Mytilus edulis: one gene and its partner. The protein of the gene in region 1 purifies or fractionates together with the protein of each later gene. This does not show direct contact. Links are inferred from orthologs where the notes say so. Each region holds a gene or a part of one and is shown on either strand. Other genes may lie near its edges. The genes, in order: tRNA (adenine(58)-N(1))-methyltransferase non-catalytic subunit TRM6-like and tRNA (adenine(58)-N(1))-methyltransferase catalytic subunit TRMT61A-like.

Region 1 (16,893 bases):
AGGAAGTCGATAAGACCAGCAGACAAGATCAAAAAGAGATCGAACAAGCTATATTAGCTTGCCAACACAAGGTCAAATCTGTCGAACAAGAACGCTTGAATAACAAATTCAAGAACAGTACTAAATCTCCTCAATCTGAAACTTATTTATCCACCAAGAGGCCTCAAAAGGGCCGATACAAACCTCGTCAACGTCAACAAGACAGGAGACGTCAACAAGACTTGAGGCGTCAACAAGACCCGAGACGACAACAATACTCGAGACGTCAAAAAGACACGAATTACCAGAGAGACAAGACCTGGCAACCACAACGTCGGGGTCAACCACAATACCAGACAAAGAACAATCAAGAGACAACCCTGTTACTACTCAGAGACATTCTAACCAAAATGATCTAATTATCTTTAATAAAGAATTTGAAGATTACTTGTCTAAACTTGTCATTAACCTTTCCGACTTGACCCTTTCTGCAGCGGCAAAATCAGCCCTACAAAAAGGTTTAAGCTTTGTTCCAACACAACTTGACCATGATATGTTACAAATCTACTCAGATTTCAAAACATTCTATCGTAGAGTCAGACTTAAACACCATTTCTTCGATGATTCGATAGACGACAATGTGCAAACCACTCCCCCTTTAAACTTCCAAGATAACTTAGCTAGGAAGTTTAGACAAAAGAGCAACTGGATTCCTAGCAAAGGTAAAGACGCTTTTGTAGATGCTTTCATTGAGGCTACCACCCTCGGGCTTTTAACCTCGAAACCTCGAAAGTGGGTCAAACAAAACCTCACCAAAACAGAAAGAAGAGCTATTGAAGATTTATCCAAAAACAAAAATATTGTTATCAAAAAAGCTGACAAAGGTTCAGCTATAGTAATATTAAACGCTGTAAATTACAATCAGATGGCGCTTACTCAACTCATGGATGAACGTTTCTATGTTGAAACTAGCACGAACCTCACAACATTTCACACTCTTAAAATCAACCGCACTTTACTTTCTTTACTATCAAAAAATGAGATTAACCAAGACATCTACAATTTCCTACAAGTCGAAGAACCAAGAACACCACAGTTCTATCTTCTACCAAAAATACACAAAACTTTTGTGAATGGTTCACCACCAGGTAGACCAATTATCAGTGGAAACAACGGTCCTACTGAAAAAATCAGTAGCTTTGTAGATGAACATATCAAATCATTTGTACCTCTTATAAAGTCTTATGTTAAAGACACTCCAGACTTTATCAACAAAATCGAACGCATCAAAAATTTACCAGAAGGTACTATTTTAGCAACAATGGATGTAACATCTCTATACACCAACATTCCAAACCAAGAAGGTCTGGTTTCCGTTGCCAAAAGCCTACATTCACACAAAGCGTCTTATCAAATATCCAACAAAGGGCTATTAGAACTTCTCAAATTAGTCCTTCACTGCAACAATTTCACTTTTAACAATAGAACTTATCTACAAGTCGGTGGCACAGCCATGGGCACCAAAGTAGCTCCGTCTTTTGCTAATATCTTCATGGGACATCTAGAGGAGAAACTATTAAATGGATTCCCTCTAAAGCCATTTTTATACCTACGGTTCATTGATGACATTTTCATTATTTGGACGCATGGTAAAGAATCGCTCAATAAATTCATACAACACATGAATTCTCAGCATAGAACAATCAAATTCACTGCTGAAGTATCTGAAGAACAAGTTGTATTCTTAGACACTATTGTGAAATTCCGGAAAACATTGGGTACAGTTGAGGTTGAACTATATACCAAACCCACTGATACCCATTCGTACCTCCATTACGATTCGGAACATCCAATACCATGTAAAAAAGCTGGACCCTATGGGCAATTCCTTCGGGTAAAAAGAAACTGCACAAATGACGCAGATTTTCAAAGACACTCGGCAAGTTTGTTGAAATATTACAAATTCCGAGGCTATAATAAAACTCTTCTCAATGCCAGCCTTAAAAAAGCAGAAGCAAAAGACCGTAAAGCATTACTAAATCCAGTCAAAAAAGACACCAAAAAAATGACAAGAATACCTCTAGTGTTGAGCTATACAAAAGCCAGTCCTAATCTAAGAGAGATTATTGACACTACTTGGCCATTGTTGCATATAAAAGAAACAACCAAACAGATTTTTAGTGAACAACCGCTCTTTGCCTACAAAAGAAATAAAAACCTCAAAGACATTCTAGTTAGAGCGGCTTTCCAATATCCGCCAATCACACCGGGGACATCTGGTATCAGTACACTAAATAAGTTGACCAAATGCAGCAACGAAGAATGTAGCTATTGCCCTTGGATCAATTTCCGAAGGTCTTTCACAAGCACATTCACAGAACGCAAATATAGAAAAAACTATATTGGTGACTGCAACACACCAAATATCATTTACATGATTACATGCAAGTCTTGCAAACAACAATATGTTGGGAAAAGCAAACGTCCTTTCAAAGCTCGACTCGGCGAACATCTCCGATATGTCAAAAATAAGTCAACGGAACCTACTGGTAAACATTTCAACCAGACAGGACACAACATCCACCATATGTCTTTCGAAATCATCGAAGTCCTCTGGAACGATCCTAATGACAACACGTCAGACGTCCTTAGGAGCAAAAGAGAGGATTATTGGATCCTCCAACTCAGAGCGCTAAAACCCATTGGAATCAACAGTTTAGAGACTTCCAAATTTCAGAACACCACTCACTCTATTCTCTTATATTTGTAAGTACCGTATTTGTGCACATAATTTGAATATAGAGACAGGAAGATATTATAATATTGATAGGAAAGATAGATTATGTATTTATTGTAATACAAGTTCCATTGAAGACGAATTTCATTTTTTATTGGAATGTAATAAATATGCTGACATTCGAGAAAAATATATCAAACAATATTATTGGAGACACCCCTCTACTTATAAATTGATACAATTGTTATCTGTACAGAATATTAAAGAACTGAACGATCTTGGTAAATACTTAAAATTAGCGGAGAAACTACGCTGCTAACTTTTATTAATTTTATGAATTTCATACTCTGCGTTATACTTGAAATTGTATTGTATACAAGTAATTTAATGTATCTCAATGTAGTTAACATTTGATTATTATATGTCTGTTTATTTAATATGGTGCATGTATAATTAATTTGTCAAAAAATGAATGTATATCCTATAAGCTGTACTTGCTTTTGGAATAAAGTATTATTATTAAAAAAGGCAGAATATGTCAAAAGATTTATATTACAATTTTGAAAGTACCTAATAAACCCGAAAATATGATAAGAACTTATTTTTATCCAATACTAGATATTACATTAACTACTATTTCAAATGTAATAAGAAAAAAAAAAAAATTGACTTATGCATGATTGTCCAGTGTCATTGTACTATTTTCCAGAGTAAAAAATATATATTTGAAGAAATTAATCTTGTTTTTTTTTTTTACAGTATTTGAAAGAGCTAGAAGTGCCACACCATGTGTTATATTTTTTGATGAATTAGATTCTTTAGCACCCAACAGAGGGAAAAGTGGAGACTCTGGTGGAGTTATGGATAGGTATTTATGATGGAGGATGTAAAGTTAGGTGTTGCCAACTCACTGACACATGAAAATATATAAATAACAAAAGGGCATATACAGAATTTCAAAAATCCAGCAAAGGTCAACTTTGCCCGAGGGATTTGAACCTTATTATTATAATTATATGTGAAGCCACAAACATGTTATTTCCATGAACTCTTTGTCATATTAGTTGTCTTTCTACACAAAGCATGCATATATATGTTAAACAATGGAAATACATTGCAAAATTGACTGGTCAATAGTCCATTTGCCAATTACCGACAAATTACTTCCCGTTGTCAATCGTAGACTGGTTCCATACCAGACAAAATTGGTTTTTGCCAATGCAAAGCATAATGAATTGAAAGTGATGTATCAGCAGTTTAACTAATTTTTCATGAAAAATAATTTCTGATGTCAAAAGTATTTTGCTTAACAACAAATTAATGTAATCAAAAGATTTGAAAACCTTAAAGATTACTCACATTAGGCACAGGTAAATTTGCTCTTTCTGGTAGCTCTTCATTGTAAATAAAAATCAATGTCCCTCATAAGGGAGACAACTACAAAAGGGATCTCTAATTACAGGGTCAATTATAGGAATTGGCAAATAGCCTATTGATGTCAAATTTACAGAAATCAAGTTAAAATTGTTTTCTCTTATATTGGAGAGTACTTTTTATGTAAAGATATTTTTGTTCACAGAGTTGTGTCACAGTTGTTGGCAGAACTAGATGGTCTACATAAATCCAGTGATGTTTTTGTGATAGGAGCTACAAACAGACCTGACCTGTTAGACCCTGCCCTACTCAGGCCTGGAAGGTAATCATTATTATGATCCTCAATCTCAGGAAAGACTCTTGTCATTAAAAATTTTCCTTATTCATGATAATGGAGTACAAAATTTCGAACGATACTTGAAATTTTTGTCAATTCATAAATATTTGTTCATTTTTGAGAACACAAATTTTTCTGCAACTATAAATTTTTATTTTATCTCTACATGTAGATATTTTTTGTGCGTTTGTGTTTGGATAAAACTAATTTATTAAAGAAATAAAAGTCTCTGTATAAGCTTTAGTTCAAAATGGTTGGATTTTCAGACTAGTCTTTAATTTTAACTGCATAGTAAATGTTTATATGCCTTAAAATATCTTTTTTTCCAAAGTCTAATTGGGACAAAGCAGGACACCAAGATAAAGTGATTGATGTATGCAGACCAATGATATATTTATAAATGATAAAGGCTTAGGCATATTGAACTCTGTATGACCTTAAGCACTTTTTACTTTTATGTACCGGGTATTTTAATCTTCAAGACCTTGGGATTTAAAGAAATAAACATTTTAATTACTAAATTAATGTTTTTAACATTTTTCATATAAATGTGAAATCAACCATTCTGTTTCATATTTAACAACAAGATGTATATACAAAATATATTTACAGATTTGACAAGTTACTGTATCTTGGAGTTAGTCAGGATACTGATTCCCAGTTGAAGATATTACAGGCATTAACAAGAAAGTTAGTTTTGAATAGGAACCAGTTGTTCATCTCATGAAATATATAACTGGTAAACAATAAAAATTGGTGGTCCATCAAATCAGAGGAAATCCAAAAAATTGGTACCCAACTCATAATAATGAATCAAAAACTTGGAAAACCTTGAATTAAAAACTCACAAACCATTGAGTTTTGCTTTGACCATAGAAAAGTAGGAATTGATGAATAACAATGCTTGCAAAATAAAGGACACATTGAAAGTATCTGCAAGATTAAATCAAAGTGCTTGTAAAGTACTGAAGGGTACAGATTGCTTCAATTTATCAGTGGAAGTAAAATTAGGAGAAAACTGTATTGTATTTTAAGCTTGGCCTTCGTAAAATGTAGATTTTACTGTCAAATTAAGTTTACCTAGTTACATGGAGCAGAGATAGGTAAACGGATATTTGCGACAGTGAAATCAATATAGAATGTTATGATCAATGCATTATATTTTGTGTATCAAAAAGGTAGTGATAAGGTTTGGAAGATTTAGATATCAAGTCAGTCCCATAAGGTTTTGATTGCATTTCATGCAATCTTAAACTAAAAAATTATGAGTGGTATTGAATTTGAATCACATGGTTCTAATAGTATAATGTGGTACAATTCTATATTCAATGAGCAATATATCAACCAAAAGACAAATTAATTAGAAGGTTATGTCAAAGTTGCTTTTGAATTTTTTTTCTCCAGTAGTGTTATGGAAATTTGATAGGTCAACGACTCCATGCATGTTATGCTTTTGTAGATTTAAACCTGGGGACATCTTCGCTGGCCAAGGGTTAAGATCCACTCCCGTTCTCTTCACCCTTGGCGGATTGAGCTAACATTTGTGATATCAATGTAGCACCATCTATCGGAAGATTAAAGTCACGCCCATTCCGAATACATTATTCTTGACCAATGGTAGCACTTGAACTCTTCAATTTGGAGGTAAAATCACGGAAGCGTCTAGATTCTACACACTTGGTAAAGCCGGAAACGAAAATATACGTCAGCATGAAACATACACAGGAACTGCTATTAGTTGATTAAAAATATTCGAGTTGTCACTAAATATAGTCGTATGTTTAGTGGGGTAAATACTTGTTGCACAATATAAACACATGGCAATTGTTTACAAACACTTTCTACATTTACACGTGATCATGTTATAGGAGCTTTTTGATTGGATGCAGCGAGCTTCTACTGCAACCAATAAAAATCCTTACCTTGTGTCTCCGAAATGTTAGCTCAATCCGCCAAGGGTGAAGAGAACGGGAGTGGATTGTAACCCTTGGCCAGCGAAGATGACCTGGGGAAGGATTAACACTAGAGTTTTGTTGTCAATAGAGACTCTATAAAATTTAAAACTTTTTTACTTTTTAGAATTAACTGATGAAAAAATTTATTCAACAAATAATGTTGCTAAAAGATGTCCTAACAGATGCTGATTTTTTTATGCTTTTATTTTTTAGATTTAAATTGGAGAAGAATTTAGAATTGAGAAATGTTGTGGAGAAATGTCCAAAGAATCTAACTGGTGCTGACTTCTATGCTTTAGCTTCTGATGCCATGCTGAATGCTTTGAAAAGAAAAATCACCATGCTAGAAGCTGGTAAGCAGGTTTTGTATAGTTAATGTCCATTAACAACTTACAATTAACTATTTTATGTCTGATTACATTCTGCTTCTCAATCAGGATTATTTTGATTGAAAATAAGGACATTGAGAAGGTGGTAAATATTGAATTATCAAACAGAATTCCCAGAAATACTAACCTTCATTTACTGGCAGACATCAACATGTCTTTCGATCTGTTTTCCCAAACTTTACTTTTGAGTCCTTGGTAAAAAAAATTGTGCAAATAAAGAAAAGGTTGGGTAAACCTTAAGTCATGAAGAATTTTTCCCATGATTTAACAAAAATTTTCATTTCAGTGTTACAAAAAATTATTTGAATATTTTAAAAGTAGCATCCTCTTTGGAAGAATGTTTATCTATGTGTTGATAATCAATCAAGTGGACCTTTTGTTTTTGTTTTAGATTTAATGATATATTGTTCTTTTCTTTTCAGGTGAGACAACTGACCAAGAAAACGTTATTGTATCAGAGAATGATTTTCTACAGTCCTTGTCAGCTTTAACACCATCTTTATCTGATGATGAAATGAAACATTATGAAGAACTAAGAGCTTATTTTTCTGGAAACTCTGCATCTTGATGAAAACCTGTCCTTAAAAATCTGTGATAATTATAATTTATTGTTAAAAACTGATGAATATAAATGGAATAAATATGAAATAAAATTTGTAAATCAGTATTGTTGTTATATAATAAAACATATATGAAATGAAGACAGCATAAAGATGTAGCAGCAATGATCTATACATGAATCTCAAAACTGATCATAAATGGCAGATTTTTGCTCATTGTTTAAGACTGAATTATATGGTGGATGGTCACTCTTGATTGTTTTTTTATATTTAATTTCTTGGATTAATAATTCTTTGATTATTTACACTAAATACAAATAAATTGTATGGCTGCCTCAATAGTTCTGTATCGCAAGATTTATATATTATCCATGGTTTTTCAAACAAAGACAGGGTTTCTCAGCTATAATCTCATCCAAGTAAAAAGTTATTACTCTTAAAATAATCCTTGAAAGATGGTTGTTACCAAATTTTTTTCAGATTTTGTTTTTTTTGATAGATAGAAACTTTAAGTGGCATGTTTAAAGACATTAATATATATAAAACAGCAAAATAATCATTGATGCAAGATCTACATAAAAAAATCCAGATAAGCAATTGGAGCTCTTATGAGACTCTTGTATATTTTTGGAACTGCTATTGTTCATGTGCCCCATATCCTGCCAAGTTTGGTTGAAGTGTATTAACCAAAATGGTTTCCATGTGTATTTGTACAGTTTTGGTTTCATGATACTCTGTTGATCATATAGTCCTTGCTTTGTCATTGTTTTGGATACTATTTCAAGTCTCCATTATATTGATTGTAACACATTTGTACAGGTGAAAATTGGCACATAAGTATCAATGGTGCAGAACCATTTAAAAAAAAAAAGTTTTTCTATTCAATAAATTTGCAATTCAGGGAGCATCAAATTGGCAGTGCCAGCTTTTCAATGTTTCTTTTTACAATATTGAAAGGACCCTTAAAAAAAACCCAACTTATTTTTATCTCTAGAGTCTAGAAGAATTATTTTTGGGGCTTTGCTGTCTCATTGACATGTACCACACATCTCAAATTATTCTCATGTACACAAATAAAAAAATAATTTTTTTTTTTATAAAATAATTCATTACAAATAGAATTATATTTTGTTTGGAATTTTTTGTTAGTACCAAGTTGGACCTCTACATAACAAATTGAAGAACAAATATTCATAATGAGTGAAATAATGACTTCTTAATTAATTGTTCTTTTATTTAATTTGAATGTTATCAACAATATGAGGCCTTTTGTACAATTTGAAAAAAGACCATTGCTAAGTTTTGACCTGAATGACCAGTTGTATAATTGTAAAAGAAAGACAGAAGATACAATAGGAACGGTCAAAACTAGTTGAAAAGAAATTACAATGCCTCAGCAAAAAATTGGAAAAAAAACCCAACCTAAGACGAACAACAGTCTACAAAACACAACTTAGAAAACTAAGCAACTTCCAACAAGAAGCACATCAAAATCTGAGGTGATCTCAGATGCTCTGGAAGGGAAAGCAGATTCTGCTACACAAGTGGCACCTACCATGTTGCTCATTTAAAAACAAACAAGTAATTAGTCTAGTTCAGTAAGTCACATTGAAGGAAAAGTAGACAAATTGTGGCTATGACATTTGTATTGTATCAGTCATCTGTGAAACATATTCCATAACAATCCACCTACTCCGCATAGCAACCACTTGGAACTCTTGGTTTAATACCTTCCTTATTATCAGCAACATCTACCAAAGAAATTATGATAGGGAATTCTCAAAACTTTTGCAATCAAACTAATTAGACATTAGCCTGCTCTTTTTCGAAAATCTACAAGAGTGTCTTTTACATGCAAGAGATATTGCTCTCTCTAAACACGGGTCAGCCATTTATCATCCCCTTTCGTCGGACTATTATCATTTCTCAAGACCATACTCACAAATGGTATCATGGGAGAGCCAAAAATTATGTCTCTGAAATTTTCACCCCAGATTGGGGATCAAACCAGGAACCTTTGTGTTTGAAGTCCGATGCACTAACGGCTGCACCACTGCTCTCCTGATTTTAGATGGACATAAAATAGAAAACAGGAATCATAATATTTATTTTTCAGTTTAAATTACACCTTTTTTATACAGCAGTCTGATCAGTAACAGATGCACATGGGATAGACATTGGGAGGATCATTATTTTGTCTTTTCTCACTTCAATTAAAGTTGCAAGTGTATCAAGCATACACATATCCTTATGTCTCAAGAGCCGAGCTGCAGATTTATCTAAGTATAGTACAGCTTTCACATCCATACAATTTTCTGTCAAAGGTTCATTGAAAATGTCTTTACATTCACTTTTCTTCGCTTTATCAGTATGAGTTTGTAGATCAGCGTCAGTAACCCATAACACTATTGTATTATCAAATGGTTTGAAGAACATTTGTAAACATTGAACAATCAATTCTATTTTCATTTGACAAAGTCGAAAAGATGACAGTTGTTGCTTCATTATTTTGATATAGAGTTCTACAGAAAGTTTACTTTCATTTTGTTCATAAGCTGACCCATTAGTTAGGTATTTGAGATTGTTTGTACCAAAACGTTTATCTGTAATTAAAGATTTCCTATTTGTCCAATCAAAATAAACCTGTTTCAATTCACACAGATGTTCACATCCTTTGGACTTTTTTCCAACAGCAGAATCACTGAGTGATGTTTTCAATTTCTTCTTTTCAAATTTCCTAAATGACTTTTCATCAAGATAATCTGTGTACCAAGTTTGTAATTCAAACCAGCATTTTGGAGCTTCTTTGTCAATTTTGCTGGCTGGAAATTTGTAGCTTTTCTTTGTTTCCTCTACTGGAACAAACTTTGGATATTTTACCTGGCTGTATTCACAAAATGTTCCACAACTGGGTCTGCTGAAAAGAAAAGAATCTGTCATTTTCTTTTGTTCCGTCTACATTTTGTTGGTGTTGCTTGGGAAGTCTGGATACAACAATCAAAGTGAAACCGCGTTTTACCACGTGGAATTGTTTACATAGATGTCGCTTCATGATTACGCATCACTTTCCAAGTCATTTGTGCGTTTATCAAATGGGGGTTAAAAACCACGTAATAAGTTCATAATTGAAAGCGAAATTGTACTTTCATTTTCTAAAATGGCATGTGCAGAAAATATTTCATCAACAAAATTGTTGTCTGAAAATGATCAGGTGATACTGAAGAAAGGAAAATGTTGTCAAGTATTTCAGATTAAAAAGAAGAGGTATGTGATACTGGAAAAATCTGACAAACAAACGTTTAAATATGTAAATAAACCGTAATTATCAACATAAAAAAAGGATCAATAATTTGACATGTATATATATATATTATAAGGCTATTTTACATATTCAATAATTTTAATTTTAATAGCTGAAAATTTGAATCCTTAAACACCGGTTTACCCATAAGAATAAGAATATTTTATTACCAATTAAAGGGCTCTATAAAGAGCTTTTAGTTTCATCACATTGCATACAAATATATTACGTACTCTTTATCAAATTATACTAGTCCAAATAATTATGATATCTTGAAAGGCTATGATATATTTTTTTTTATCTTTGTCGCCTTACATCGATGCAGGAAGGCATCAAAGCAAAAATTAAAATAGCCTTCCAAGAGGTCATAATTATTTAGACTATAGACGTCAAGACTGAAGTATAAACATAATTAGTGAATCATAAAATAATCTAAAAACATTATAGCTTATGTTTTTTATACAGCTTATAGCTATTTGTCAGGACATCACAAAGGTTCCCCTAAAAATTTGACATCATAATACATGTGTATCTTGACACCACAATGGAAAAGTGATGGACATCAATAGTTATTGCTATTAATGTGGTTCTGTTTCATCGTTTATTTTTCAACAAAAACGCAGTGTGCGATAAATTCCTTATACGGTTAACTACTAACCCCTTACAGATCCATAGACATGATAGAGGGTGAATAAAATCCATAGGGGATTCGGCCGCTGGCCTCACCCCCTATGGATTTGACTAACCCTCTATGAATGCGTCCGGCTGAATCCCCTATGGATTTTATTCATCCTCTATGGATCCGTAGGGGGTCAGTAGCGAACCATATAATTTATCAGGTCAACTGGGACAAATTTCCAAATAGGGATAATGTTTATACTCTATTATAGATATTATATAAAGCTTTTTGAACTTGAACTTTAGCATGTTTAGACAACAGATTTTTAATAGAAGACCAGCGCAAAACCAGATAATACAAATAAAATCTATGAAATACATGTATGCTAAAATTTAAAAAAATCAAATATTTTGAAAGAGTTTATTTACAGGGCTTTCCCTTGAAATTGAAGTAGTAGGCTAAATTACAATTATAGGTGGCTGTGACATGCGTTCAGCGAAAGCAGGGGGCCTGGGGGCTGCTCAAGGCCCCAAGAAGCTCTGTCATAAATAGAGCAAAATCCTGCATTCTCGAATTTCTCCTGGCACCCAATTTCATCTTTCAAATAACCATTTTTTATGTATGAATTTAAAGAAAGATAAAAGATCTCAAAGAAATTTCTTTTCTTTTATGTAATGGTTTGTCTTTTATTTTCTTTACCTTTGCTTATTAAAAATTTATTTGCTTTTAAAGGAGTTTTATTTATATAAATAATCTGATTTGTTAGAAATCTTGATCGATTTATTTTGCATAACTACGTGCATTTGTAAACAAATGACCACCTTTTTTCTCCAAAGACTATTACGCGTATTTAAATCATACAATTATTTTTCAAGCAATGACAGAAAATTGATATATTCTCTGATTTTCTATTTTTTTCGTAAACTGTTCAATAAGTCGGATACATAAATGTTATTTGTGGTCGAGTCGACAATATTCTACCTTCGTTTTTGGCCATGATTCTCTGAACACCACGTGGGCTTTGAAAAATAAACTTCAAAAGATACTGTTTTTAGAACAACATGATCTACTTCGACCATCGAAACGTCTCTTTGTTATCGTTCAATGACCACCGGAACCTCTCTTGTTATCTTTGAAAAGAAACAATGCATTCTGACTTTAAATAGACAACCAATCAGTGACCTGAATTCATGTGAACTATATTTAGCCCATGGTAAACACTGACTTTTCATCCCTGTTAACTGTGACCGCGACTTTGTGACAATACGTCTCTCAGCTGCCTGTAAACATTTGAAAAAGATATTTTTTTCTTTTTGAATTTATATTTTTGTCAGTGAAGTAGGCGGCACTTGAAGCCACCGTAAACAGCGGTTATCCGCCGTCTACCTGCTACTTTTGAAAGCCCTGAGTTACACCTATACATACATGACATATGTATTGTTACTGGTCGGAAAGTATTTATATATAAACAAAAATGTACATGTAATTTACAAATTAAATTTATTGTTTATTATTATAGATTTGTTTGGTTAGATAAAGTGAAATTTACATTAGATGGAGTTATTGGACATCGTTATGGGACAACTTTCAGGGTCACAAATGGAGAAATGGTAAAGGTCAACAAAAAGGAACTGGATGAAGCTTTCCAGTGTAAGTTTAGAAAAGAATGTGCCTCGAATAAGACAGAACAGTATCATTGTCATGTGAAAGCAAAGTTTTGATAAAGCATGAAATTAACTTTTGAAATAAGTACCACGCTTTGTTCTAATTAATCCACAAGTTATTTCCCTTTTGGCACTGTTGATTATTAGTTTTAAGGAAAAGTTTTATGAAAAAGAAATTGAGAACATCACCATCATTTTCGTAGAATTTGTGACAAGTAATATTTATCAAGTATTTGATATTTTTAGCATGCACAGATTAATTTTATTTGTAATTGTATAGCATGTGATGTCAAAGATATATTACTCATTGTAGCAACAGAACAGGGAAAAGATAACCGAGGACTGCATGATTTAGATTCCAATCAGAAACTGTCACGTGATGACATTGAACTAATGAAAAAGACTGGTATGGAAGGGGAGGTAATTAATAAGTGACTCAAAATATAAAACATGTAATTCTTATACAAGTTTTGATATGAATATGAAAACTTTATATTTATTAACATTGATAAAATATGTAAAGTTTTTAATCAGAAAACATCTGTGCTGAATTACTCTAGATTTGTTTTTCTGGCCTTGTCATTAAAATTTCAAGTACTATACTCATGGTTAGAATCATAATTAAGCCAAACAATACTGGATTTAGTGTTTCAAGCATATATGTATTTGTGATAATAAGGCTCTCTTTTATTTTACAGAAAATTATCGGTCAGCTAATAGAAAATAGTACAACATTTAAGGACAAAACAGAATATGCACAGGAAAAATGGATCAAGAAGAAGAAGAAAAAGTAAAACGACAAGTCTATCAGGCCATGTAAACTGTTTCTTTAGCAGCTATTGCCAAATTTCTTATTTAAGATTGAGACAGAGACACACTTTATAAAAACAGTGACTCCTGAAAATACATAGTGTAACTGATAATGATTTCATATTTATTATATTTTCATGTTTTTATGAAAAAAAAAAGATTTCCTATTGTATATTTAACTTATTGTGTAATAATTCATTGTGAATTAAAAAAAAACAACCCTTATAATTATCCTATTTAATTGATCTAAATGTAATTTAAAAAACCAACAGTGGTCTCTTATTATTTTCTAGAAAAGGATTAAACTAGTAAAAAAAAACAACATTTTCCCATTGCAATGTTACGAAAAAAATAACATTAAGGTGGCTCGCGGGTATAAATCAACTTATTTTTCTAATATGGGATTTCGCCAATTTTTTCTATAAATTAACTTTATCCTATACCTAATAGAAAAAAAAATTAAAATATGGGGTCACCGTTCATTTAAGCTCACAATCTGCCTCCGAAAAAAGCTTACATTTTTGTTAATGTCCTTTTTTCTGTTGAACTAATAGGAGAAATATAGGTAATATCGAAATAAAAAAATAACCTAATTACAGAAATCGCAAAAATTTTACAATTATTTAGTTTATGTACAGCTTATTTGAAAATAATAATAAAAAATATAGGTCACCGATGTGTTAAAAAAAGATATTTCAATTTCAATGCCAAAAAATGTCATTTTTGCACAAAAGGGAGATAATTTGCAGCTTTTTCAATGATATTAACATTTTAAAAGTCATCTGGGGCGAAACTAAATCGATTTTTGGGTTGATTTTTCTACCATATCATAAAGTAATAACTAATAGTGTAATAACTCAAATTTGTAATGAAAAAACAAATGTTTAATTTTTTCTGAAATTTTTGTACCCGCTAGCCTCCTTAAGTGGTAGCACTGTTATTACCTCATTTGTAACTGTATGGTTCACCTCTGAGGAGCCAAAAATTTCTAGAATTTAAATTTTTATCAATTTTTACTTATTTTTGGACTTTGATCATGATAAAATGCACAGTTTCACAATTAAACTTTTTTGCATACTTCCAATAAAGTTGAATTGAACCAATCTTCACAGAGTTAAGTTTTATTATAATAATTTTTTAATTCATTGATATTTTTCATTTGTATCAAATGCTTTGGAAATAATTCCATAACAGGACTTCAATGAGACTGAAACGTCAGAAGAATTCATCCTTAACACTCACTTAATATGAATTTATTTTTCAGACATTTACAGATTTTTACAGTTTTGAAACCAACAGCCAGATTACTTTGTGAAATGTACCATGGAAAAGCTCCACAGAAAATATGGTATGTTATTTGTCATGTTCAAAAATAGAACTATGATACATGTCAGGATGTTCATGTCATTCTTCATCATCAAGTTTGAATAATAAAATTGCCAGTAGGGTGTCGAAATAAGATTATTGTGTTTTGCATCAATTGGTTGTTTTGGAATCTTTTTTTTTTGGTATAATTAGATTGTTCGTACCACAACAAAAAAAACTGTCACGTAACTGGTTAAATATTCATTGTTTGGGATATTTTTAACCAATTACAACATTTTGTTGTACTGTTTAGAAAATATCACCCAGAATGCATTAGATTCTAAAACGGTGAATTTATGGCAGATTCTGAATAATTAAAACCAGGCCTTTCATCCTAGCGTTTTATTTAAAATACATGTACATGTATTGCTGTCAACATATTATTGAAAGGAATGAATAGTATTTCATATTTTAGTTTTTAAAACGAAGAAGAAAGCCGTATAAATTTAATATTGTAATGTTATGCAGCTTTTTCTTCCAGGTAGAAATATTTAATATAAAAGAAAAAAATATGCATAAGCTGCTTGTCTGTCCTTAGTTTTTTTCTCTGAGTCTAAAGAAATATAATGATATCTTTTTATACATGTATTTAAAATCAAGTAAAAAAGTCTGCGTCTAAAGAAATAAAATTATGTCTTTTTATACATGTATTTAAATTTACGGTATGTAAAAAAATAAATTTGATTATTTAAACTTGTACTGATTTGTATGCAAGTATTATTTATTTCACCCCTATAAACAATAATAGAAATAAGAACCAATCATTCAGAGAACCATTGATGGTCTTTCAACTAGTAAAGATTTTTTTTTTATATGAAAATATTAAAATTTGGTTTTAAATGTCAATTTTAGGGTCAATTGAATGCTGATTCCAAAAATATATGGTTTCTATACAAATAGATATAAATAAGGGAAATCATTTTTTACTTCTGGTTTAAAAGATGTTACTTCCGGTATTTTTTGATAGTTTACTTGACACTGATTCCAAAAATATATGGTTCTATATACTATATACATTAATTTAGTACAAAATATAGTTATTTCCGGTTTACAAAAGGTCACTTCCAGTTGGCTTTTTCTAGATCACATTGCTTACAACCTAATGCAAAAAGCCCCATGGCTTTATCATGTATACATATGAGGTAAAAGCAAAGGTCAAAATCTAGAACATTAAATTTACCTATGACCTTGAGCTCAATTTCAAGGTCATCAGCCAAGGACCTCAAATCAAAAGACTCTAGGCCTCTACCTTATTCTGTTAATGAGTTATATTACCATAAAACTAATATTAGATATAAAAGGGGGGAAAACTCGCCTCAATCATCTACATACCCTTTCAACTAAAATTTATTTGTTACGACTTGCCGCAACAAACAATTGTGTGAAAATATTTTGTCGATATATTTCTGAAAATAAGAAATAACAAGCCATAATCAAGATTTTGAACATGACCTTGACCTTTGACCTTGACCTCATTTTAATTTTTTTGGACCAAGGACCTCAAATAAAAAAAACCTAGGCCTCTATCACTTATGGTTTTCCAGTTTTAAATACATTTCAAAATTTCAAATACGAAAAGGGAAATAACTCTCATATGGAATCTCTATAAGACTTCGGTCAAAATAAAACAGAACATCCTGAGGATATAAGGAGCAATTTGGAAAAATAAATTTGTCGGTTTCTTATACAGTTGTGAAGCCTTAGAGATAACAAGAAAAACAGTGTTCCGGGAGATACCTCTTATATGGGAAAGTATTCGGCTAAGCCGAGTTGGTTTCAAAAGCGTATAAACTGTTCGATTTC
Region 2 (16,858 bases), about 4.2 Mb from region 1:
ATGTACTCTATTATTTACTTCTAAATTATTTTCAAAATGTGATATTCTCTTATCTACCACATTCATACATTTATTTAAATAAGAATCAAGAGATTTTTTATCAGATTTTCCCCGTTTACACCATTTTTTACAAAACGAGGAAAGAGCATCTTTGGTGACTTGACGACACTCTTTCCAATCTATTTTAGATGGAGGACGATATTTTGGTCCTTTTTTCAAAAAGTTTTTAACCTCTAGATGTCCTGGACGATATTGAGGTCCCCTGTAATAGTGATAATGCCTATCCTCCGTATACGACCTGAAAACACTTTTATTTGTTAATAAAAAATATAAATTATTGCATTTTTATAAAGTAGCACCACTGACCCCTCAGTAACTCCATGACACAAAAGTATCACCATTGACAACATACTTCAAATTTCACTTTTATTAAGTAATAAACACAAAACAAAGAACATGTGCACTGAGCAAAATAAAAAGAAAAAAAAACCCAATAATTCTAAGGCTAAAAATTCTAAAATTATATAACATAACATCAATAACTAAATATGTCAATATATATATATATAGTGTTACTAAATAGTTTCATTGGTGATACCATGCAGCATACATCATTTTTTTTAAACTTTGTTTATGTAATACATGATAGTATTAAATAAGATTAAATAAGTATTGTATTTCATAAATAATATGATGTTTCGCTTGTTAAACATGAAAGAAACACACAAAAAGCTGATTGTCATTATATATTCAGTGGTGTTACTGAACTGGTCAATGGTGTTATTTTATCAAAGTGGTCTCACCATTGACAGTAACACCAATGATTTACAGTTGAATTTTAAGATTTAATTACATGTACAAAATAAGTGCTCCATTCCCCTATTTTATATGTTGTTCCTGGTGCATGTTTCTGTAATCAATATCTTTTCATAAATCAAAGTTCAGGAAATCTTTCGGAAAATGATTTTTATAAAGGGTACACGATGGACACTATTTTCAATTGCGATATAGCTTTTACTTATTTTTGAAGAAATTTGGTTGTACGATAAAGCAGATCTAAATAAATTTTCTTTAGACCTTGATTCTGTCAGTTGGGATGAACTTTTTTCTGATGTTAAGGATGTTGACGAGATGTGCAATACATTTACTCAAAAACTACTAGACATAGCCAGGCAAAACATCCCAACTCGACATGTTTATATACGAAACAATGACCGACCGTGGTTTGACAATGAATTAAGGAGAGAAATTCGTAGAAGAGACCGATTTCGTAAAAAAGCCTTAAAAACTAAAAAAGATTGTGATATCAATAAATACAAAAAGCAGAGGAACAGAGTAAATAATATGAAAAAAGCTGCAAAAGAAAAATTTGAAAGAAGTTTGGATAATCTTATCTTAAATAACGTGGCTAACCCTAAAACTTATTGGAAAATAATGAAAATGCTTATAAAATCAAATAAAGGTTCTGGTGATTTACCCCCACTTAATAATATTATTCACGATGAAAGCATGGAAGATGTAGTGTACGGAGACGACGAGAAATGTAATCTGCTAAATAAATATTTTAGTCTGATTTCCTCCCTAGAGGAGGAAGGTGTTCCAATACCCGAAATTAAGCCAAGAACAAATATTTTTTTAAAAGATTTAGTAATTGAAATAGATGAAATAGTCGATATAATTAAAATTTAGATCCTAATAAGGCATCTGGTCCAGATGTCATAAGCCATAAAATGCTGAAAATGTGTCCTGAAAAAATAGCAATTCCCTTAAAAATAATATTTAATAAATCCCTACAACAATGTAAATTTCCCACCAGCTGGAAGATTGCTAATGTAATAGCATTTTTTAAAAAGGGAGATAGTTCGTTACCATCTAACTATAGGCCAATATCGCTTATAAGTTGTGTAGGGAAAATAATGGAGCGAGTTGTTTATAAACATGTCTTCAATCACCTACATAGAAATAAGTTAATATATGAATACCAGTCTGGTTTTCTGCCAAAATATTCGACAGTTCATCAGCTTTTAGAAATTTATAATTCTATATTAAATTCATCAGAAAATAAAGAAATTAGCTGTTTTGTTTTTTGTGACTTTTCTAGAGCATTCGATAAAGTTTGGCATAAAGGATTGCTACATAAAATGAAGTCATACGGTGTTGACGGAAATTTATTAAATTGGTTTCAAAGTTACCTAAACAACAGACAACAGCGAGTTGTTATTAAACAATCTTCCTCTGAACTTTGCAGTATTTCAGCTGGTGTCCCACAGGGTTCTGTTTTGGGACCCTGTTATTTATTATCTATATTAATGATATTGCTGAACACTTGATTTCTTTATGTAGATTATTTGCAGATGATACATCTCTGGGCTACTCTAGTCGTGACACGACACAAATACAATCAGTGATCAGTCACGACCTGAGTGAGCTCAGCGATTGGTCTAAGAAATGGCTGATGTCCTTTAATCCAGCAAAAACCGAAAAAATGTTGTTTTCATACATTGAAACTCCAGAAATGAATTTCACTTTCAATGGTAAGAGGATTGAAGTTACAGACTTCCACAAACACTTGGGTGTTACATTTAGTAAAGATGCTAAATGGAACACCCATGTGGAAAATATCATAAAAAATGTATCTAAACATTTAAATGTACTTAGAAAATTAAAGTACATGATAAGTAGGAGCAACTTAGAAAAGCTTTACTTGACTTTAATTAGACCGCTTTTCGAATATGCATGTGAAGTTTGGGATAATATGGGTGTGGGTTATTGTAAAAAATTAGAACAGCTGCAGCTTGAGGCAGCCAGAATTGTAACAGGTCTTCCTATTTTTACAAGTAATAGAATTATTTATGATGAGATTGGTTGGGAAACTCTAGCTGAACGAATAGAAAGAAGGAAGTTACAATTATTCTATAATATTCAACATAATAATGCACCAACCTATCTTTGCAATTCTATTCCACCAACAATCCAAAGTACAGCTGTTTATCCATTACGTAATGGGAATGATATAATATACCCTTTTTGTAGACTTTCATTAACCCAAGAGTCCTTCATACCTTCAACAATATGATTGTGGAATAACCTTAATGTGGTGACACGCAACATTGACTCTTTAGGTAAATTTAAAACCGAACTAAAAAATCTTAAATTGAATTCAAAAGCCCAAGTACCAAAACATTATGACTTTGGCAATCGTAAACTCAATATTATATTGACACAACTTAGGTGCTCAGCTTCTTTTTTGAACTATGATCTTAACAGAGTCAACATTATTTCAGATCCGTCTTGTAGTTGTGGTGCCAAGTTCGAAGATTCACGTCACTTCTTTTTTTATTGTCCTAATTATTCGAATATAAGAACCAAATTATTTAATAATCTACATTGGTTACCAGATAACTCTCTACTAAATTTGAACACCTTAACCTCCGGCGATAAGTCTTTAAGTAATGTTGAAAATGAAAGAATTGTAAAGAATGTATATGAATTTATTAAAGAGTCTAAGAGGTTTCTAATTGTGTAATGTAGAACATAATAAAGTGCAAATACATGCATATTGTGTATTACCACTCACATCATCACACACCATCTTTTCAGAGTTCAAATATGTTATATATATATATACATAATGTATTGTTTGTATGCATGCTTTGTAAATATTCTACTGTTATAAATTGTTATGGGACAAGACTTTATAAGTTTGATTAACTTGTGTCTCATCCCCTTTGCACATTTACGCAAATAAAATATGTTTAAACTAAACTTATTTTTAAGATTTTTCACTAAATTTTCAACATAGATGTTTGTTTTCTTTTGCATAACATGCTTACAGGCTACATTGCTAAGGGAGAAACTATTGTAAATGTTAAAATCTTAAGAAAGATAAATCTTACCCTACCAAATTGTCTTTTGGTTACACCATTGACTTAAAAAATGAAACTTTTCCTTATGGTGAAAATTTGTATTATAAAACCAACATACACCTCCCAAATCATTAAAGTAAAATGGTTTGTATGCATCAAAATTCAATAAATAGTGATAAATTATCATAACAAATGATATGAATAATAGTCATATTTCAGGTCTGAAAGGATTTATGGTAAAAAATAAGTTAATTCTGGCTATATCCAAGGGTTTAAGAAAACATTAAGGATAATTTTATTTACATTTCATATTGTATAATTTTTTGATAATGACCCGCGTATCATAAACTGCCATTATAAGAAATATGTTCACTTGTTATAAAAAAAAAAAAGAAGAAGAAAAGGAATAAAGAAAAAAATAGTCGTTGAATTTTGTTACCATGCCTTAAATCATTATATGGTGAAATTTTAGGTTGTAACTTTGTCATATAGTTAATTTTTTGCATGTCATATTGGGGCGCAGTTGTTCTCACTCTTTCGCATAATTGTCTTGGTTTACATAAAGTAGTAAATAAGATGTTTACGCCAAACAGTGAGTTGCGCAGTTTTAGTAAATGAATCCTCTTTGTGAAGAAGCGTTCAAAGTCTATGACTGAAGATGGAACATATACTAGGACTCTGTTCACACTAGCATTTTTTTTAATCGATCTAATTTGAATCGAACTAAATAAAATCAGTTAGCGTTCACATTATCTCTAATCAAAACGATCTTTATCGGTCTAATCTGAACCAGTGCGTTCACACTACAATTAAAAACGCAATCGATCTGACCTTTTTACCCGTAAAACTGTAAACATTGCGTATAATTAGAACTAATTTATCAAATTAATGTGTTGATACAATGATACACACACTTGAAAGTTATTGTTTCTCTTGAATCACAAGTTTAAATTTTGATACTGGTACATGAATTATTGAAGTTTAATTTCTTGAATTTGAAAATAAAATGTAGCAACGAAGTTACAACATGACGAAATACTGCGGTTCCTCAGTGAAAAGAAAAAAATCAACAAGAAAAAAAATCAACATATATGAAAAGATGACACAGATTTCGCGAAGGAGTAGGGACGGTAAGGGCCGATTTTGGCCTCAAATTTCAGGTCCATCTAACGGAAGTTTTTGGACACTTTTTAAACACTTTTAGTGTCTATTTCAATTGATTCGATTAGTTTATGTGAAAGCTTTTAACTGGTTTATTCATTAAAAATGCTCTGATTCAAGCTAAAATATGAAAAATCTATCAAATATGCCAAAAAACGTCACTTTACAGATGTTTTTTTGTCAAAAATGAAAGTGGCCGCATCCGTGTTCATCCTCAACCTTCATACATATTTTGTATTATCATCAAATACAACTTACATTTCAATATTATGGATGAACACGAATGCGGCCACTTTCATTATAGACAGAAACCGTCCAAAAATTAACCAAAATGGTAAAATTGTGAAGATTTCAGTAATTTAGCATGACTTAATGATGATAGAACGCGATATTTGTGCATTGTATTGTCAAACACAGCTCATATTTATGCAGCAGAAGCAGTTTACTTTCCAAAATATAGCTTAAAGATTACATTTTCACAATTTTCTAAAACTGCTATATTTTGGGGCCAAAACGGGGTCTTACTGAACCTACTCCTTTCTCACGGTGTATATTCATAACGCTTCCTTTCCGATAGAATCGGCGTTCCTGCTTCCTTTCCGAGTCAGAAAACGCGTACTTTCCGATACTGTACACAGAAAAAGATTACAACGATTGAATGGTAGGTGTCCTTTTATGCCAATTTATGCTACGTCGAAGACAACATGTTTTCATTTTGTTTTATAAAACGTGCATGTACACAAAGGTCTGTTAACAGAGAAATATGGGCTAAACAATGAACCAATGATATATAGTTTTGCCGCTATACATGTGCAAACATTATTTTCGATTCAATCGTACTAGTTTAAACCGATCTATGTGTTCACATTTAAAGTAAGATCGGTTTACTTTAGATCGATTCAAACTAAACTATCTCTTTTGGTGTTTTAGTTTAGACCGATTGAAGACCGATTCAAAGCGTTCACATTATCCCTTAAAATTAATCGATTTAAAGTGAACCGATCTAGTTTAAATCGCTCTAAGTGTCCTAGCGTGAACGGGGTCTAGTACTTGGTTTACATTTGCAAACATTTCACATATTTACAAACTTTTTTAAAACCCTTTTAAACTAAAATAAAAAAAAATACCAAAACCACTTAAAACAATTAAGGGGCACTACCTACGAGATAAATAAAAAAATAAAATATTATTTTTTATTCGTTCAATCATTTATAAAAGTGAAATAGTGAAATAATAATTAGCTTTTAGCAGGCATTATGGTTGTTAAAATAAGCGAAGAAACATTTATAATGTATTATTCACCTGCAAGTGAATAATTCAACCTCATTAAATCCGTATTCATGTGAACTTCAATATAACACCTTAGCTAGGGATGGATAATGCACGAATTGTGCGTGTATAGTTACTCAAAGGAAAAGAATGTCAGCATTGAAAGTGAAACAAGGATAAATCATTTGATTGACAAATTCGATTTAAAAAAAAATCATCCTTATATAGGTAAAACAATTATATGGTTAGACTGTTTATTTATATAAAGAAAACTTGGTGGTTTAATTTATAATACAAAATATTTAATCAAATATAAAAGTTCGTGTTTTGAGAACATTTGTTTCAAATAAGCTATTTAAGGGGAGACTATTAAACTCTTTTAGTAAAAAAAAATATATACTGGCTGATAGGGAAATTTTTAATTTTGACTTGTAGCAAGAAAACATTTTTGGTGACACCTTTCTTCTCACTTCTATCTCGTATATTTATTTAAGCACACACACGAATCAGTTTTCATGAACAATCTAACCAAATTTAGGCAATTTCAACGACTCATGATCAGAGCTTGAAAATAGCACGGTGATCCATACTTATTAATATATATTTAATTTAATTAAAGCATAGTAAAATCTTCATTTTGGCAAAGTAAAAGAAAATTCTATCTCAAGAAATACATACTTACATGGCCCGTATGCATAAAACATCTTAACTCAATTATTTCTTAGACTTAGATTTCACTAAGAATTCCCTTAGTTAAGTAAAAATCTTAAGTCGTATGCATAAACTTACTTAAGTCTTCACTTAACTAAGGAATACTTAAATCGGAACCTTTCTCTAATTATCGTATGATAAATTATATATGATTATATTAGCTCATTATCCTAGATTATCTCAGATAAACCAGGGGTGGTGTTCTCGAAGCTATCTTAGGATTAGGACGTGTCCTAAGACCATCTTAGGACAAGTCTTTGTCCTAAGTCGTGTTCTAGAAGCTCTCTTAACTTAGGATATATCGCATTTTTCGTCCTAACTTTAGGACACATAATTAGGTGTCTTCAGACCATCCTAACTTAATAAAGTTTGGAAATTGCTTTTTGATATTTATTTTACGTGAAAATGAACACGAAATGAAACGGGACTTCGGTTTTTACCTCGTATAGAAAGAAATAGTGCATGATTTTAAACTTTGAACTTCGTGTATCACGATACGATGACATTACACATTCAATTATCATTTCAGTTTAAAGTGCAATCCTTTTTTTATATAATTTTATAATCATGATAATTACATTCGAAATCATGCATTTAAATCTTTACATGTAATTATAAAATTCTTGAACAAATTTATTCATTGGTTTCATCATTAATAAATGTTTTATCAAAAAATTAAATTTTGCACTGAGGATAAGTTTAGGACGTCCTAACATAAGATGCGTCTGAGATAGCTTCGAGACACAGCTTAAGAGTGTCCTAAGTCAATCCTAAGTCCATCCTAAAGTTGGTCTTATCTATGACTTGGGACGAATCTTAGGATACTTTCGAGAACACCACCCCAGGATTTTCTCAGATAAACTAGAATTATCTCACTTTTTTACATTTAGCTCAAATAAACCGGGATTATCTCGATTTTCTAAGTTTCAGATAATGCCGGTTTATTTTTTTTATTTTTTTTTTTAGATAAACCGAGTCTAAATTAAAAATGATAGAATTTGTTCATACTTCTGTTTATACTATTGTTCATCATGACTTTTCCAAACTGTAGTAAATATTGATATATGTTCAAAAATATAATAAAAGTATAGGTCACCGCGCATTTTCTCAAGCTACAGGTTGTGACAAAATGGCACATTTATATGGATTATACTTAATAAAACTTCTTTTATGTGATTAAAAGCTAAACTAAATGATAGAATTGTAAAATAGAAAACGAGAAGATGCTTTTAGAAAATGATTTGGAAATATCAAAGAAAAAATTAAGGGTCACCTTACGTGCGTTTTTTCCTCCCGCTAAAATGCAAAATAGCAAAATTCCCTGCATATTCCTTCAGAAAATGCACTATTTCAAAGTTACCTCCACTGAATTGTAAAATAGAAAACGAGAAGATGGCTTTTAGAAAATGCTTTGAAAATATCAATGAAAAGATTTATGGCCACCTTACGTGCGTTTTTTTCCTCCCGCTAAAATGCAAAATAGCAAATTCCCTGTATATTCCTTCAGAAAATGCACTATTTCAAAGTTACCTACACTTAAAATGCTAATTTAAAAACATTAAAAATCAAGCAAAAAATTATCTATCTATGTATGTGTCATTTTGGTATCTTGTGGACAGTTGTCTAATTGGCAATCATACCACACCTTCTTTTTTATATTGTTAAAATATTTTATGATCTTAAAATGCAAATTCATATCAGTTATCTGCATTCCTGCGTCAAATTTTAGACCTTTTATTCTTTGGTTTTTACAATCCAAGATGGCGAAAGACACCCATACCACCTTAAGCTGCATTTGGAGTCGGAATAGTTAACAAACAAGGAAATCATGATATATAAATAAGCTATGATGATCTTTCAGTCGAGATATTTATAACCGATGAGTCACCAATTTTCAGTTATAGGTTTTATGCAAAATTTTAGCTCAATCTGTAACATAGCCCATTTACAGTTTCTCGGCCGTTATCAAGTTTGCAGTATGGGCATACGATACAGTTTAGATCCCATATTGAAATTTTGCATGTATGTTTTTACCTGATTAAAGAGGGTCATTAAATCTGAGAGATATATACACGTGTGTATATATGTCTCTGATTAAATCAAATATGTTATAAAAATATACCATCATGTGCTACTTTTTGAGTAAATTAAGGTTGAAATTAGATATTTCCTCAAATTTCGGATTTGTTGCCGTATTTTTCCTTTCGACAGAAGTACATAACTTTTTTGTTTTAAAAGATAAACACAAGCTTCTTTTTGATAATTTATTTGTAATTTCTGTTTTATATAAATGTTCTATTAGTTTGTACATCTTATTTCTACAAATAACTCATATTTAACAAATGTTCATGAATGTAGAATAAAAAAAGTCATTTTTTGCTGAATATTTATCCAATTTAAAAAAAAAATGCACTATTGTCTTTTTCATGAAAATTGATACATTTAAAATCTCCATACGTAATCAAACCACATGTCATTTTACCATGACCAGATACATATAATACGAATCTGGTTGCGGTTTCGATTGTGGGTACATGGTAATGTGTCAATTTTTTAATTACCGATTGGTTATTAGTTTAACCTAATGTTATTACGTCCCTTAAATCATACTTCCGCTAAAAATAAAAACACGTGAAATTCTACCAAAAATGAGTTTCAAGGAGTATAGAACAAACATTGAGGAAAATGACACTGCCATATTGTATCTTGGGTTTGACAACATGCATGCAATTAAAGTTGTTAAAGGACAGACGTTTCAAACGAAATTTGGAGCTTTAAGATTGTCAAACTTGATAGGGAAACCTTATGGAAGTAGAATACAATGTCCAAAAGGATATTTGTATGTTCTGTACCCTAACCCAGAATTGTGGACCCAGAATTTACCTCACAGAACGCAAATTTTATACTCTACTGATATCAGTTTAGTAACATTACAGTTAGATCTGAAACCAGGATCTGTGGTAGTAGAATCAGGTGATCATACATGGATTTTTAAATGTTTGTGGATAAAAAAAAAACCGTACCTTAAATTGTAAAAAAAAATCTTTAACACTGAAATACATTTAGAAAAAATCTCCCTAGTTATGCAAACAAAACATCAGATAAAAATTTAAGGAAATGGTAACAAAGTCTTTAAGTGATGGTTTTCGTCTCTCTTGCAACATTTGAGACATACATTGTACTCCTTGTGGCTTGTTGTTGATACTTTGATGACAACAGTACTAGCCTAGTGGTAACATTGTTGTTGAAGGCAGGGTAATATGAGGCAGGCATAACCTGTGAATGGGGACGAAGTCTGTATGTATTATTTTCTTAATTCAATTATGAAACCGAAATACCGTACGTAACGTTCCCGATTTTGGTTCTGTTGTTAGGGAATTAGCTGTGACGTTCTTTAAGTTATGACGTCATATTCGATGTAAACAAAAGAAACGCTTTCATCAGGTAACGTAACGTTTTTTTTCATATCAAACAATTATTAAAATTGAATTTGTATTGAGATTCAATCTTATGTTTTACTAGACTGATAAATATAAAAAAAAAATCAAAGTCTCATGCAAACAAGACAGATTTCTGCGCAAATGCGGGAAAACCGGAACAGGAACTAGATCTGAAAAAAAACGTTAACGATTTTGAGTTCATTAGTACAATGAAAAATTCGGGAAATTTTCCCAGATTTTTTTTTTTTTTTTTTTTTTCATTGATTTTTCTACCGTAATTGGGGACTTCGTCCCCATATAATCTAAAGATATAAAGAAGTTGTAAAATCTAAAATATCCACGACTCATGAGTATTTGTTATATAAAATAAACATGATAAAAGGTGTGAAGTTTTAGATATATAGCTATGTGTCATGGTGTAAGCAATAGAGGTATATGCAAAATGTTATGCTGGTTCACCTCATATATCTTATTCAAAAGCTGTTAGTTTTTTTCTTAACCTCTAAGGCTCTTTTATATCATAATCAGCAAAAGGTAACAGGATAAGTCCTTACAAAAGTCAGAGATATACTAATGAACAGATATATTTTCTATATGGATGCAGGACGTGACGGCCATACTGCCATAGGATGTATCCGCCATACCCCGAAAAGATGAAACAGCCATATAGGACACAAACGGCCATACTTTGTGAAGACGTATCATCCATTTTTTTTAATTTTTTTTTTTATAGATGTTATATATGAAATATTCTGATACTTATAGATGGTTATTATAACTTTTAAATAAACAATACTGTTTTTACATAATTTATCATGTTTAATTTTGTCATATCCTCCGAAAGAAGGTTGTTAATTGCTTATTATAACTTCTTTGATGAACACAAGTATTAATTATGCTTTTGTCAAGAAATTGTAAAAGAAATACAATTCGAGATCACTATAAAAATACAGCACCCTAGCTGAGTTCAAGTGGAGTGCAAACATACATTAGGTAGTGAAATTCTTGTAAAAATACAAGCTGTTTGAGCAGTCTTTTTGATGTACCGACCTTGCTTTATAAAAGTAACCAGAAATGTCGGTGGCACTCAGTCTCTATGGTTCATTTACAATTTTTTTTATCAAATGAAGAAAACTTTTGAGCAATATATTGGGCGCGTGTCTCTGTTTAATGCAAATTTTGAGTATACAAATTTCGGAGGTGTTAATCCTTTAATTAGTTTACGAGATTGCCAATTATCAAACAAATTTACAATTATTAACGTAAAGGTGTATGCTGTATGGTTTATATGTTTGTTGTATATTATTTGTTTATCTGTATGACTGAATTAATAAATAAAATATATTTTGTGTTTCTTATACTATATTGGTATGATTGTCCATAAGCTCAGTCCATAATACCTGGGACTATTATACTAAATCAGTATAATAGTCCAGGTAATACCGTTCCATTTCTCCATCAACAAATGAACAAAAATGGGAACATTTAAATTGTCAACAAACAGTGTTCAACATAATGAACAAAGCAATAAGAACATTCCTGAAACCATCATTTATCATGTTACATGTGTAAGGGTGCACATTCGTAATATATTAGGGGTAGTTTGTTTTGGTGTCCTTGTTATGGAAAATTCTACAGTAGTCTCTGTCTTGGAAAGATGTTCTGCAAAAGGAATGACTGTAAACTATAAGAAAGAAGAAAAATACAGAATTATTAAACTAAATATATGATGATCATGACAAATATAACTCAAATTGCCTTCCGTAGAGTTAACGTGACCTTTACACTGAGTACTGTTTTAAATTTCACCAAGACTGATTTTCTCTACAAATCTTTTGACTTGTAGAAGTCTAGGTAGAAGTAGACTATAAAATCATCACAGATTTGTTTAGAATAATATATTTCTTACAGATATAATAAAAAGATCAGTAACATGTGCTTGTAATTTGTATTTATATATCGTCTGCCATCGAAAGTCAGCATTCCTATAGTTTCAACTTCATATAAAATAAGATGCCTTTATATCACATTACGATAAAAAATAATTCTTCAGAAATTGTTTCTAACTGATAATGAAGAAATAATCAATATACTTACATAATATGGCACCACCAAGATATAAACACGAGTGATGATGATGATAAAGCAAACTTGAGATAACTCTTACAAGAATAAATAAAGGTGAGCAGTAGATCTCTTGTGCAGAAAAAAATACTACAAAATCAAATTCATGTTATTACTATGAATAAATACTTATTTTATTATTATATTATATGTTATAACTTCAATAAAAAAAAATTAAAGTGTGGACGATACGTCTCACAAGATATGGCCGATACGTCCCATGGATGTGGCCGTATGGCCGACACATCCTAGGGCCGTCATGGAAATGTGGCCGTCACGTCTTGAAAGCTTCCATATGTAGGGGAAGCCGGAAGAGCATTTGCAACTCTTTGTTTCTGCTCTATATGCCAATGGCGTACAAGGGCAGTAAGTAAGTAAAGTAAGCATTTTTCAAAATGTTCAGTCATGAAAAGGAACATGATATTATATAAAAATAAGCTGTTGAATGATTGCCAGTAAGACAACTATCCACCAGAGACCAAATGACATAGATGAATGCAATGATTGGTTATAATTACTGTACAGCTTATCATATACCTATTAAAGTAACAAATAAAAATCTTTATTTTAGGAACTGGCAGTGGATCTTTGTCCCATGCCATCATTAGAACAGTGGCACCTGAAGGACATTTATATACATTTGAATTTCATGAACAGAGAGCACAGATAGCTAAAGAAGAGTTTGTGGAACATGGTGTTAGTGATTTTGTAACTGTTACTCATAAAGATGTATGTCAGGATGGATTTGGATTAAATGGTATAGCAGATGCTGTTTTCCTTGACTTACCAAGACCATGGGATGCAATAACTAGTGCTAAGCAAGCTCTCAAAAAAGAAGGTATTTTTTTCATGACAAAAGTCAATAAGTCAATTTAACACCTTACAAAAGTTCTTAGAGGGTGTAATGGGGTGGGGTGGGGAGGGGGGAACTTCATGACAAATCATGGTAAAATTTTGCCAATGGTAATTTTTGGTGCATGACGATAAAATGTACCCTGAATTTTAGACTGTTCAACTGGTCAGAATTTTGAACAAATTATTGAGTCAAAATGTAAAAGTGCAAGGTGATAAAATAAAACATACTTACAATCCTACATGATTTTTGTCCACTTTAATGTTGTGACAAAACCTGCCAAACAGTTTGTATAGATATATTATAATCATTACCATGCTAAAGGTGAACTGTTGGTAATTTGAATTGCTATAAAAATATCTAAACTAAGCTTTCATATATTGTCTTTCGAAAAGCCTTCTATATTCATAAGAATCAAACATTCTGTTTGTAGGAAGTTTCCATGGGGAGATAATAATTTTTTCTTTCAAAAAGTTTTTATTTTAAAGAATAATGTTTTAGGTTATCTCCTATGGAAACTTATCACTAACTTATTGTTATTTCACACATGGCCCAAGACCACAATTAATGACCCCGCTTTTCGTTGTCCACGAATATAGTTCCTTTTAAATAGAGTGTATTTTTCCTTAATTTATTTTCTTTCCCTTCCTCACTCATTTCTTAAATTTTTTGGGGTGGAAATGAAAGAAGAGAGGTGAAATAAATTTTTGGATGTTGTATTTTAACTGATTTTGATATGGAATGAGTGATTAGGCCAAGTGCAAAAAGGTAATATTTACAGTTTTCGGAACATCTCTTGACTTGTCAATAGGGGTATGGATGTGTATTGGCTAAATTTGTAAAAGTGATTGCTTCAATCTTTCTGAATTTTGGATATATATTTGGACTAGGACTATACATTACACACACAAAATATTTGACAAAAGTGCATGGTGCAATTTTTTTAATGATGCAAAAGTTTATAAAGAACTGATAGAGGAATTAATTGTGGTCTGTGGCCTAAGAGGTGCATTTCAGCAAATTTTTAATTTTTACTTTGGCATCTTCTCTGAATGATCTCTTGGTATTAATTTGTCAAACTACATGAGAAGAAATGATTTTCACTTTCATTTGATAGAAATTTTGTGAAAAAGTCACTTTTCAGGTTAAATTCCCAAAATGTAGCTTTTTCACTTTTTTCAATATTTTTTCAAAAACAGCATGCTTAATTTCTCTCTAACAGGTTTTTTCTGATATCTATTTGTGTTTGTGGTATTTATTTCAGTTGTTTAACTTATTTGTGAACTCTGAACACAAAAAAAAAGTAGATAAAAACATAAAAAGAGTGCAAAATGTGCTGTTTTAATAGTCTAAGTCTAACGGTCAGTTTATGCAGCAGGTGAAATGTGAAGTTGTATGCGCTTAAAAGTTGTATTCCTAAACAGATTGCACTGAATCTATATCAAAAACACTTATTACTGGTTGCTTAACCATTTCTGTTTCACAGACTACCTTTACCTTCTTCTGTTGGATAGCTAGTGGCTAAAATATTGGCCTTTTGAGGCTGAAATTTCATTCAGGTTTTAAACAGTAAAGTTAATAAACTTTGCATCAAACCATACTGTCTACATATGTAGTTGAAAGTGACAGTCTTGTTACATCCAGGCTACATGTTTTATCATATCTAAGCACAGATTTAAGCAAAATGAAGCATATCTCCATCTCCCATATCATTTATATGCTTTTTAATATGCAAATGTGGGGAACGGCCTAAATTGACAACCTGTTTTTTTAAGCATGACATTGCTAAAGACCATTTTATCCACATGTGTTATGCTATTTGAAACTTATATTTCCATTAAAAGTACATTTATAACATGTTCAAGTTTTTTTGATAACTTAACAACCATAGAAAATTGTGGTAAGTGAAAAATATTACATTTGATATAAGGCCTCACTTTATTTGAAAACCTCTATTTTTTGGCACAGGCTCATATAAAATTAACTTCTGGCCATTTTTCATAAGTCTGATACATGAAGTATGCTTTCTGTTGCTTTAAATAGATGTTAACTTATACATAGAGACATTAAAAAGTGTTAGTTTAACTTTTGGTATCTTTTGATTTTTAGAAGCTCAAATTTGATAATTGAAATTGTTTTAATTCAACGCCACAATTAAGCACCCAAAGTTCAGATATAAAAAATGCCACATTTTTTTTATTTGGTATCATATGTCTTTGAAACTTTGTAAACTGTTTTATAGTATACTAAGCTTGAATCATGCCAAGTTTTATTAGAATTGGTCAAGTTTTAGGCCACTAATAGGCCCAAGACCACAATTAATGACCCCGCTTTTCGTTGTCCACAAATATAGTTCCTTTTAAATAGAGTGTATTTTTCCTTAATTTATTTTCTTTACCTTCCTCACTCATTTCTTAAATTTTTTGGGGTGGAAATGAAAAAAGAGAGGTGAAATAAATTTTTGGATGTTGTATTTTAACTGATTTTGATATGGAATGAGTGATTAGGCCAAGTGCAAAAAGGTAATATTTACAGTTTTCGGAACATCTCTTGACTTGTCAATAGGGGTATGGATGTGTATTGGCTAAATTTGTAAAAGTGATTGCTTCAATCTTTCTGAATTTTGGATATATATTTGGACTAGGACTAAACATTACACACACAAAATATTTGACAAAAGTGCATGGTGCAATTTTTTTAATGATGCAAAAGGTTATAAAGAAGTGAGAGGAATTAATTGTGGTCTGTGGCCACATATTTTACATTATGGGAGGTAATCCAAATCTATTTAAAAAACACTATTTGATTACCTCCCTTACACTGCTTGTAAATTATGTATTAAAAAATGATGATTGTCTTGAGTTGATTAAATTTATTTTTTTATTGATAAATATTAATTTTAGCCATGACTACAAATGTATGTATGTCAGTTTATATTTTAAAACTTTTATGATGTACATGTATTTAAATGGGTAATTATATTTGGAAACTCCATTAGAAGTTTGAAATGAGATACTGACCATATCTTGAGGGAAATATTTTTTTGGGGAATAAGGGAAAGGGAGGAGATGAAAAAAAGTTGAGGGGGGGGGGGGACAATTTTTCTCATTTCTTGAAATATTTTTTTTAGGGGGAGCATAGTATGTTGCAAAAAAGCAAAAAAACATGGTAATTTGGGGAAAGGGTCAATTTGAAACAGCATAGTGTATTGCACAAAAGCAAAAAATTCAGATCATTTAACCAATTTGAAGTTCTTTGGCTACTGTTATTCTGTGTCAGAAACCTATTATGTGTAAAAAATTTAGTTACAATCATAGTTCAGAATTGTACATGTATCAAGCCTGAATTTTGTGTCCATTTTGGCCCCAACTTTTCAGGGTTGGACATCTGTGGTCGTATCCAGCTGTGCTCAGCAAAGCAATTTGTTCAAACTT

The links.
Region 2: the proteins of tRNA (adenine(58)-N(1))-methyltransferase non-catalytic subunit TRM6-like (region 1) and tRNA (adenine(58)-N(1))-methyltransferase catalytic subunit TRMT61A-like purify together in Homo sapiens (affinity purification with mass spectrometry; 4 studies listed by BioGRID and IntAct, counting the BioPlex papers as one, with this or other methods). This does not show direct contact. The link is inferred for Mytilus edulis from reciprocal best matches to the Homo sapiens genes TRMT6 and TRMT61A.

What each region holds. Positions count from the first base shown.
Region 1 is NC_092346.1:19,645,529-19,662,421, reverse strand, and holds the start of tRNA (adenine(58)-N(1))-methyltransferase non-catalytic subunit TRM6-like, read left to right. Parts: upstream 1-10,419; 5' UTR 10,420-10,488; coding exon 10,489-10,595; intron 10,596-12,770; coding exon 12,771-12,901; intron 12,902-13,228; coding exon 13,229-13,335; intron 13,336-13,613; coding exon 13,614-13,705; intron 13,706-14,989; coding exon 14,990-15,073; intron 15,074-16,893. Other genes in the region: peroxisomal ATPase PEX6-like, read left to right, coding at 3,476-3,584, 4,296-4,412, 5,040-5,117, 6,596-6,735, 7,194-7,339. UniProt on the Homo sapiens protein: Substrate-binding subunit of tRNA (adenine-N(1)-)-methyltransferase, which catalyzes the formation of N(1)-methyladenine at position 58 (m1A58) in initiator methionyl-tRNA.
Region 2 is NC_092346.1:23,882,103-23,898,960, reverse strand, and holds the start of tRNA (adenine(58)-N(1))-methyltransferase catalytic subunit TRMT61A-like, read left to right. Parts: upstream 1-9,601; 5' UTR 9,602-9,655; coding exon 9,656-9,980; intron 9,981-13,142; coding exon 13,143-13,409; intron 13,410-16,858. UniProt on the Homo sapiens protein: Catalytic subunit of tRNA (adenine-N(1)-)-methyltransferase, which catalyzes the formation of N(1)-methyladenine at position 58 (m1A58) in initiator methionyl-tRNA.